2 linked regions of the Neurospora crassa OR74A genome follow. The protein of the gene in region 1 binds, or shares a complex with, the protein of each later gene. Links are inferred from orthologs where the notes say so. Each region holds a gene or a part of one and is shown in the gene's direction. Other genes may lie near its edges. The genes, in order: NCU07710 and NCU03029.

Evidence for each region.
Region 2: the proteins of NCU07710 (region 1) and NCU03029 are in contact, whole or in part, in a cryo-EM structure (PDB 8AE6), measured with the Saccharomyces cerevisiae proteins. The link is inferred for Neurospora crassa OR74A from reciprocal best matches to the Saccharomyces cerevisiae genes IML1 and NPR2. Residues at the interface, in NP_012672.1 of Saccharomyces cerevisiae: Glu288, Asn291, Phe292, Glu293, Glu294, Thr295, Gly296, Glu297, Gln298, Phe300, Gln301, Asn305, Pro309, Phe339, Lys340, Pro344, Trp367, Val368, Met371, Glu372, Arg375, Glu376, Met379, Pro403, Ile405, Lys406, Leu445, Pro476, Leu477, His478; in NP_010852.4 of Saccharomyces cerevisiae: Pro106, Arg110, Met114, Val117, Leu118, Glu120, Gln121, Asn122, Glu220, Gly221, Asn222, Ala223, Asp225, Lys227, Phe229, Pro234, Pro235, Ser247, Ser248, Val249, Asn250, Lys253, Ile254, Ile255, Asp256, Val257, Asn258, Trp259, Asp260, Pro261.

Annotation. Positions count from the first base shown.
Region 1 is NC_026504.1:2,119,364-2,123,844, reverse strand, and holds the end of NCU07710 (vacuolar membrane-associated protein iml-1), read left to right. Parts: coding exon 1-3,735; 3' UTR 3,736-3,892; downstream 3,893-4,481. UniProt on the Saccharomyces cerevisiae protein: Component of the SEA complex which coats the vacuolar membrane and is involved in intracellular trafficking, autophagy, response to nitrogen starvation, and amino acid biogenesis.
Region 2 is NC_026501.1:8,388,822-8,393,407, forward strand, and holds NCU03029 (hypothetical protein), read left to right. Parts: upstream 1-1,504; 5' UTR 1,505-1,785; coding exon 1,786-1,828; intron 1,829-1,962; coding exon 1,963-2,499; intron 2,500-2,569; coding exon 2,570-3,861; 3' UTR 3,862-4,033; downstream 4,034-4,586. Other genes in the region: cyt-18 (tyrosyl-tRNA synthetase), read left to right, coding at 1-1,118; NCU03028 (deubiquitination-protection protein dph1), read right to left, coding at 4,315-4,586. UniProt on the Saccharomyces cerevisiae protein: Component of the SEA complex which coats the vacuolar membrane and is involved in intracellular trafficking, autophagy, response to nitrogen starvation, and amino acid biogenesis. Mediates inactivation of the TORC1 complex in response to amino acid starvation.

The DNA of each region.
Region 1 (4,481 bases):
CAAATGACTATGACTGGGCATAGATCCAGTCAGCGCTTCAATGCCGACAAACCTGAATCGCGTAACCGTAAGACGGTCGACTTCGACAAACTCAACTCCAAGCGTTCACCAACAATCACTCCAAAAGTTCCAAAGTTCATGAAGCAGATCAGCCTTGGCAGCTCCGGTTTTCGCATTGCCGCACCCAAAGCTGCGACGGCAGAACTTAGCATTGAAAGTGTGAATGCTGATAGATCATTGGCATCTTCAAGGGCTTTGATGAACGCGGGCACTGTTGCAACTCCAGCCAAAGCAGCAATCAACCGGTCAATGTCGCCCCAGATGTTCGCGAGTGGAACTCCCGTTTTCTCCCCTTGGGGCGCTACACCAGGCTCATTCGCGCCCAGCCATCAGTACTTTGAGGGTACTCCAAGCCGGCCGATGCCAATCAAGTCGCAACAGATTCCTACTGACCCTGCAGCCAACATGCTATCAGGCTCGATGCTTGCCTCAACACTACGGGCCGATTACGTTCCTGATAATCGCGATCTCTTCTATTCAGATGCAATCAGAGCTGAGGATGCGAAGAAGGTTTATAATAACAAGCTTTTGGCCGGAGCGGTACCGGAATTACCGTCAACTTTATCGCCGACAACCGCGCTGTCACCTTGGCTGACGTTGGTCAACCCGTCGAACCCTGATAGCAACAAGGTCGATATTGCCACGTTGTACAGTCGTTGGCAACATGTGTTTCCTAGGCCAAACGAGACGCGGGTGATGAAATGGAAGTCTTTGTGCTCCCCCGCTGCCGTTCCACTAACCACAGAGTACTTCCCTACCAAGGCACAGTTCGAGTCAGAGTACCACCGTCAACCGTATAATGTCTCGCAAAATGCTGATGATGAGCTGGCCGAGGAACCCAAGTCACGCGACGAGATGCTGCGCGAGATGATCAGTCTCAGATTCTGCCAAGGATTCCAGGTCGTTGTAGGCCCAGCTGTTGCCAAAGCCTTTGGCCAGAAGCAACTCAAGGTTACCGACATATTCTCCCGCGACCACACAGCAGAGGATGGTACAAGCATCTTCATGTCGGTCGGCAACACGATCCACCAACTGTCGTGTGTGAATGGCACCGAAATTGAAGTTAATATCTTTGTCCGGAAGCCGATCGCCTCGGCGGGACTGTACAATGACCGTTACTTGTACAAACCGGCGATACGAACTCTACTTGACCACGGTTACAAAACCCGTTCTTATGACATGGTGGCCCCAACGCCTGATCGGAACTGGAATTACGTCGATGCCTTTGTTGCAGGGCATAATGACGAGTTGTCCGAACATTTGAGGTTTTGGCGCGCTAGGTTCGTCCTGATACCAATGACAGCCAGACACTCGTTTTTCCCCAAGACGCAGTACGGGGACAGTGAAGAAGAGATTCGCATCGAAGGCATTCGGAAGCTTGCGCAGATGTGGCAGAAGCACAGGTATATCCCGGCGAGCGAACGGAGCTTTCAAGCATCGCGTCGCAAAAAGGACATGAATCCCCTTGATATCGTTTACAAAACAGAAGATCCATCCGTAGTTATTGCGGCCGAGCTGGAAACGCTTCCGTTGTTGGAGGGCCTGGAAGGCGGGCACAGGAAGGGTCAGCTGGTCACGAGCAGAGAGCAATTTTCGAAGAAGAACTTCAGCCTGGCAGCATTGGCAGAGGCTATCCAGCAGCCCGTGGAAAATGGAGGCATTCGAATGCAAAACCGGCGCTGGCATTTGCGCCTCCATTACAACTGCTTCATCGGCTCTGACATGACCACTTGGCTCCTGGAGAACTTCGAAGACTTGGAGGACAGAGAGGAAGCCGAAGAGCTTGGTAACCGTCTCATGGTCACTTCAGATGATAAGTCGAAGGATGAAAGCAAAGATGGGAGGAAGGATGGCGGTGGACTCTTCGTGCACGTTGAGAGGCGACATCCTTTCAGAGATGGCCAGTACTTCTACCAGATCAGCAGCGACTATGCGAAACCCAACCCTCCAGGCTGGTTTAACACAAGGCGGGTTCCAGTGTCTGTCCCATCAACACCGCATTCGGAAGTACGGGATTCACCAAGGTCCAATGTGTCGATGTCAAGACCAACATCTATCCACGAAGACAGCTCTCCCACCTCTGGAACGGTTACCCCAACGGCAGCTATGATGGCGGGTGGCAAGAAGCCCAGGGTGGTTCTGAGTAAGGTCATGAAATACGATGTTGACCATCGAAAACGCTCTTACCGGCCCGAGGTGGTCGATTTGCATTACGACAGACTTCACAACCCCGACAATTGTTACCATATCCGGATCGACTGGATGAACGTAACAGCCAAGTTGATCGAAGATGCTATTGAGGCATGGGCTCGCGAGGCAGCCTTGTACGGGCTCCGGCTCGTTGAGGTTCCTATCAACGAAGCTTGTGATATAACGGAAATTAACCCGTTCCGCCGACCGTACATGATCAAGCTGGCTGTCCAGCCACCAAACCAACAGCCCATCACCTACTTTGATCCCAATTCGTTTACTCCGCAAGCACAGCCAGGGCGGCACTTCTATCAGAGGGCTCTCCTGAGAAAGTTTGACTTTGTTCTCGACATGGAGCCAGCGTCCAGCTTCCCCTATACCGTCGACGTGTCGTACTCATGGGGCAAGCCGGACTTTAAATACACGCAGTTCATCCACCGCTCCGGTACTCTCATTGCTGAAATCACCGACGAAGGCGACATCCTGATCTTAGCCAACCGTCTCTATAGCAACCGCACGGCGGCCCAGCGTGAGAAGGAAATGCAGCAGAAGGGAGGCGGATCCGGTGCCGGGGGCGACAACCTCGGACTCGGTCCCGGTCCAGGCCGCATCTCAACGCCTGGTCTCTACGGACCAAACGCTCACCCAGACCAGCCAAACGCAGTCTCCTCCCCGCTCGTCAAACCCACAACAGCCTTCCTCTCCCCCGCGCTTCGGCCGCACCTCATCGGGCCCCTGGCCAGCGGCCCCCCATCAACCAACGGATTCGGCACCACAGGCCAACCCCTCAACCGATCCACCGTCACCGTCCCCGTAACGCCCGTCATCCAAGACCCTGAGGTTATCAAAGACGAGCTCGAATCCTTCTGCCGCGACCGCTCCGCCCTCGAGGCCTTTTACCGCGAATTGCTCGAGCGCGAAGCGCACCCGCCCGCACCCAACACCACGCCCGGCCTTGCGCCCGTGAAGATCCCGTCGACCACAGCGACGAAGGACTCAACCCTCGCCTTCGCTACTCCTCACCTCGGCGCCGGTCAAAATACTACCAGCACGGGTCACACGGTTCCCGATACGAACATCCCCAGCCTCGGCCTTCCTCCGGGCGTGCTAGCAGCAATAGGCGGCACCGGCCTGAGCAATCTTAGTGACTTGCAGCTGGTAGGTAGCGGGACTGGGCTGGGAATCAGTCCTGTACGAGTGGGAAGTCCGAGCTTGTTGTCGGCTGCGTCGGCTGCGTCTGCGGGCCACCCCTCGCACTCGACGATGATGAGGAGAGCGAGCGTGCAGGAAGGGGTTATGGGTAGTAGGATTGGTTTGGGCTTTGGGGGAGGTGCGTCAGCTGCAGCTGCAGCTGCTCAAGCGGCGGCGGCAGCGGCAGCGGCAGGAGCTTCGGGAGCGGGAGCTGCTGGTAGTAGTTCTGATGCTGGTGGTGCCGGAAACATTGGTGGTGGTGCTGGCGGAGATGCAGGTGCTAGTGAGCACTGAAGGAGAGCGTGGGAGGTGGCAAGAGGGGTGTGAAAGGGGGGAAGGTGGAATAAGATGGGTTTGAGTAGTTTGATGGTCATGGATGGTACTTGAGAAGATGTAAAATCATGTATGGAGATCGAATAAATCATGACAGACAGTGGAACATGGTTTCAAGTATACTAAGTGGAAGTATCGCTATATATTGTAAAGGTGCTTTGATGCCATCCCAGGTAGTCACTACCTTGGAGAGCTTGGATAGCGAGCATTCAAGTATGATGGGTGATACTCCACTTTCGTGAGATACTGTATCTTGCTTGCTGTCAGTCAGGTCGCACAACATCTTGAAAGTCGCAACTATTTCTGGCTAGGATGATCGCTATCGAGGACTAACGACGAATTCGCATCCCTTGGTGGTCACTGCTTCTTTCACCATAGAGACCCGCCTGCATGAAGGTATGTAAAGCTTCCGTATAACTCCAGTCCGCAACACCAATTCGCAGGTATCTTTGTCGTGGACTCGCACTAAATTGCCAACATATGTAACTATCCTTCCGTTTCAGGATAGGTAGCAGGACTGAGCAAACTGTCCAAAGAGAAAAAGGAATCTCGATGAGGTGCAGCACGGTCAAGTACGTCCTACCCCATCCGCACTGCATCGCATCACCAAAATCCATGTCGCTCGCAGACAAAAAAAAAAGATGACGCAAAAAAGATGTTTCAACCTCCCTCGGTAAGGATCGAACTTACAGCCTCCAGATTAACAG
Region 2 (4,586 bases), on another chromosome or scaffold:
AATATGTTACGCCCAAGACTGCCCTTGACGAATGCGTCGGCTTCACCGTCCCTCTCTTGACCGATTCATCCGGTGCCAAGTTTGGTAAGAGTGCGGGTAACGCCATTTGGCTTGACCCCTATCAGACCTCCGTCTTCGATTTCTATGGTTACTTTGTCCGCCGGTCCGACCAAGAGGTTGAGAATCTCCTCAAGCTCTTCACTTTCATGCCCATCAGCGAAATCACCAAGACTATGGAGGAGCACATCAAAGACCCTAGCAAGCGTGTCGCGCAACATACCCTTGCGCGTGAGGTTGTGACGCTGGTGCACGGTAAACAGGAGGCCAGCGCCGCCGAGGACCAGCATCGTATGATGTATACCGGCCAGATGACCATTCCCCAAGTCTCTCGTGCCAAGGACGCAGCCACCGGTGGCGATCAGTACAAGACGATTTCAGATCAGCCTGTCACCCTCAACAACGCGCCCCGTATCGACATGATTCTCCCCGAGTCGCTCATCATGGGCAAGTCTATCGGCCGCATCCTCTACGCCGCCGGTCTCGCCAGCAGCACCACCGAGGGCCACAAGCTCGCGGCTGCCCAGGGCTGCTACGTCGGCGGAGCCCACAGAGCCGGCGGCGAGAACGTCACCATGAACCCGGACCTCATCTCTTTTATGCCCGTCAAGCTGTGGTTCCCCGGCGAGACCCAGCGCTACCTGATTAACGGCAACCTGCTAATCCTCCGCAAGGGCAAGCACAACGTGCGTGTAATCCAGATGGTCAGCGACGTCGAGTATGCTGCTTCGGGCCAGACGTACCCCGGACAGAGCTTTACCGGCGCTGTCAGGAAACTGAATGAGATTATGAAGAACCTCAAAGAGAAGAAGTTGACCCCTGAAGAGGCTAAGAATGCTGTGAACGAGCTGCAAAAGAGTTCGCAGGAGAAGCAGCAGGGCCAGCAGATTATCTTCCCTGAGGAAAAGAGCAGGCAAAAGAAGGATATGGAGACCAAGCTTAAGCAGGAGATGATTGCCTCAGTAAAAACGATTGATGGCATGATGGACGAAAAACCCTCTGTGCGGGGAGATGGGGTGAAGAAGCAGACTCAAGATGATAGGGATCCGTATAAGTGGTAGAGAATGTGTAAGATTCTATTCGCATGGTAGGGTGGCACAGAGAAAAGGCATAAAGGTTGGATTGGTTGGACAAAAGCGTTACTCCCCATACATATTTTGTAAGATAGAAGCATGAGAATACCCGATTTTTGGACATCATAGTCAATACCGTGGAGCCCCGCAATATGAAAAACACAAACGACAATATGGTATTTCCAGAATGATCATGATGTTTCTCAAGCAAACATTTTGAAATACACGGATAGTTAGCGTTCATTCCTGGGTCCTCCGATGCTGAAGTCGAAAAGGGGTTATGTGTTCTCTGTTTTTGTGGGAGGGGTTAGGGTTATATGTGAGGTACACACTAGCAGCCATTGACCTCGTAGCACCAAGGCACCTTTCCCAAGACAAAACACAATACGTGACAACTTCTGGCAAACCGACCACGGCGACGACTACTATGCTAACGTCATCTTTGGTTTGCAAAGTGTCTGATCATTGTTCTCAAAAGCAATTTCATTCTACTTCAGATTCGGATGACATCTATACGCTACTCGGTAGAACCAACCGATAGAAATGAGCGCCGGTAACATCCGATGAGACCATATTACTCGTCTCGGCGTCAAATCCAAAGTCGCTTTTCCCAACACCAAGAAGACCCTGGGTTTCGACAACAATCATTTAAATCATGATTCAAGCAATCTTCTATGCCAGGTTCTTTCCAAAAGAGGGTACATATAGCCTGCCTTGCCCGTCACTCATCAAAGTCATTTGCCCACCCATTTTTATTGGGTCTGGCCAAGACAGCCCAAAGACGAAGTGTAGTGAATCTCAAGCTAACCAGTGGCACTTTTCCCTAACTCAGGAACCAAAATCGTCGCACAAAGTCCACCGGGCTCAATCGTGCCAGTTCCACTTCCAGAAGGCACCAATGGTCCCCTCAACAGGAAACCATGTCTCTTCGACTTCAGCGTGCTCCAGGAGTACATCATCCCGCGCAAGGCCTTCTGCAACCGCTTCATCACCGTCAATGACCCGGACGGCAAGTACGTCATCCTGGGATACCCCGTCTCCATTCCGGACCCGCGGTACGACCGGAACGAGTTCATTTTCAACTTTGGGCTCGTCATCAGTTGCGATGTGGTGGACCAGATCCCCTATGAACGCGTCGTAAGGAGGCTGGCGGCCACCTTTGCCGAGATGGAGAAGCAGGACGGCTACCTGAGCCAGGACGCGGCCACGAGGGGCGGAGCGGTCGCGGTTCATGGGTATGGCAATGGCGGGGGCCGTTGGGTGGATGGGGACGGGAATGAAATGGTGAGTATGCGGCGGCCGATAGAATCGTTGCTGGAGATTGTGAAGGAGGATCTGAATAACTATGGAGAGTGCATGATTCCCATTGGTATATCTCCCTACCTATTCACCCCCCTTCATCACCTTAGTTACAAAAAATGCTGACCGTTTCAAAACAGACGACGCTAACACAATCAACATGAAACTCTTTCCTCACCACGTCAACCCCCCTGAAGTCAAAGGCTGGCACGTCCCCGTCGCCAAGATGAAGTTCGCCGACGTCGTCGACCCAACCTGGGATCTAACCCTGCAGCGCGTCGTCGCTCATATCGATGGCGTTTCCGACGTGCGCCGCATTGCTCTGGCCTCCGGCGTCTCCCTCGAGCTGACCCAGCTCGCCCTCCGCCACTTGCTCTACTACGACACTATCCTGCTCCTAGACATGTTCTTGTTCGGCGCGTGCTACGCCCCTCGCCCGGGCATCCACGACTTCATCGCCAACGTAGGCGGCATGGTCGACGAATGTGCTAACTACGTCTGCGTCGGACCTATCGATCCGTCTCCCAGCAGCAGCAACAACACCGGCACCGGCGCCGGACCTTCTTCTTCTTCTTCTTCCTCCGACAACTACCACCGTCTCCGTTCTGTGTCAGGAAGCACCACTTTCCACAACCACAATCCCTCCAACCTCTCCACCTCTGCCAGCACACGCCACAGCCACCTCTCCCCCTTTGGCCTTGGCCCAGGAGGTGGTTCCGACCGCGATCCCAGCCCTTACGCCCAACACCACCTCTCCCCCGTCCACGAACGAAAGCCCTCCACCTCCCCCCGCAACCCTTCCTCCAACATCCACTCCTCCTCCTCCCCACCGTCTAACAAGCCCCCACCACCCAACGGATACCGCATATCCAACTACATGCTAATCCGCCTAATGACTACCTTCTGCGTCGGCAAAACCGTGGCCGAATGGCTCAAGGGCCATATGGATTCCGGCTTCGACGTCCTACGGTACGTGGACGTTCGCCGCTTAGTTCAATTTGGCGTCATCAAGGGGTGTTTGTACAGGGTGCACAAGTATGTTATCTCGAAACAGTATCTGGCTGCGCTAGCTACGGGGTTGGCTAGACCTGTTTCGCCATCCGACACCGGAACTGGCACAGGCAAAGGGAAAAGTGGGAGGGGGTATGGCGAAGGGGAAATGGGGAGGGAACATAAAGTGGCGGTGCCGGGCGGACATTATGATACCTATCGTGAACCCGGGAGTCATGGGGGTCCGGGGGGGAAGGGGTCGAACAGCAAGAAGATGGCGATGATGATGAAGGCTAGTGGGGATCCGTTGCAAAAGTATATGGATGGACGACATTGTTTTGATCAGATCATGACGGAGAGGAACATGACGGACGCGGAGATTATGGATAAATTGAGGAACTTTCCGGTGCCGGCTGGGGATTTGACGGTGCTTTATCGGTAGAGGGAATGATAGCATGCAAATAAGAGTTGATTAGTGGTGTTGATAGTTAGCCCGGCTACTGTATGCGAACTCGTCTTCTTAGAGGACAAAAGAACCTTGTTGATTCAAGCAAGAGGAGACATGTTTGATAAAGATCGCTAAACTGTAAACATGTAAACCTCCTTACGTGAGGACACCCGCTGAAGGGGTGTTGTTTTGAGCATCGTCTCTGTGCTGGACTGTCTATCGTCCTCCTGAGCAACCATTATCGCTAGATATTTGATTAAAATATATCTAGCACGGCCCAACAATGACCTCGCCAGGAGATAACACTGCACTCCCTGGACATCCTTCAATCCACTATCCCCTCGACATTCTGTCGTTCATTGTGAATACCGCCGTATCCTTGAGGAACAGCAGATAACTGTCAATCTCCGGTCCACATCTCTGCACCGTCTAGTAAAGAAATTTAAGTTAAGAACCGCCCAGAAGATGTTCGATAGCACCCTGTACGCTACCACCGCTGCGGCGTAGTGCAGCAACGTTCCGATCAAAATCGAAGAAACCCATATCGTTGAGTTGACGCAGCTGCTCAGCATACCTCTCCTCTGGCGGCCTGTTGTCGGGAGGAGCAACGGGATTTCCGCCAAAACCACCCAAACCACCGCCACCAAATGCCTGCATCATCTGCTGCAAGGCCTCAGGCGAGATAGGGGGCAAACCAAAAGGGTTCGCGGCACCAGCCT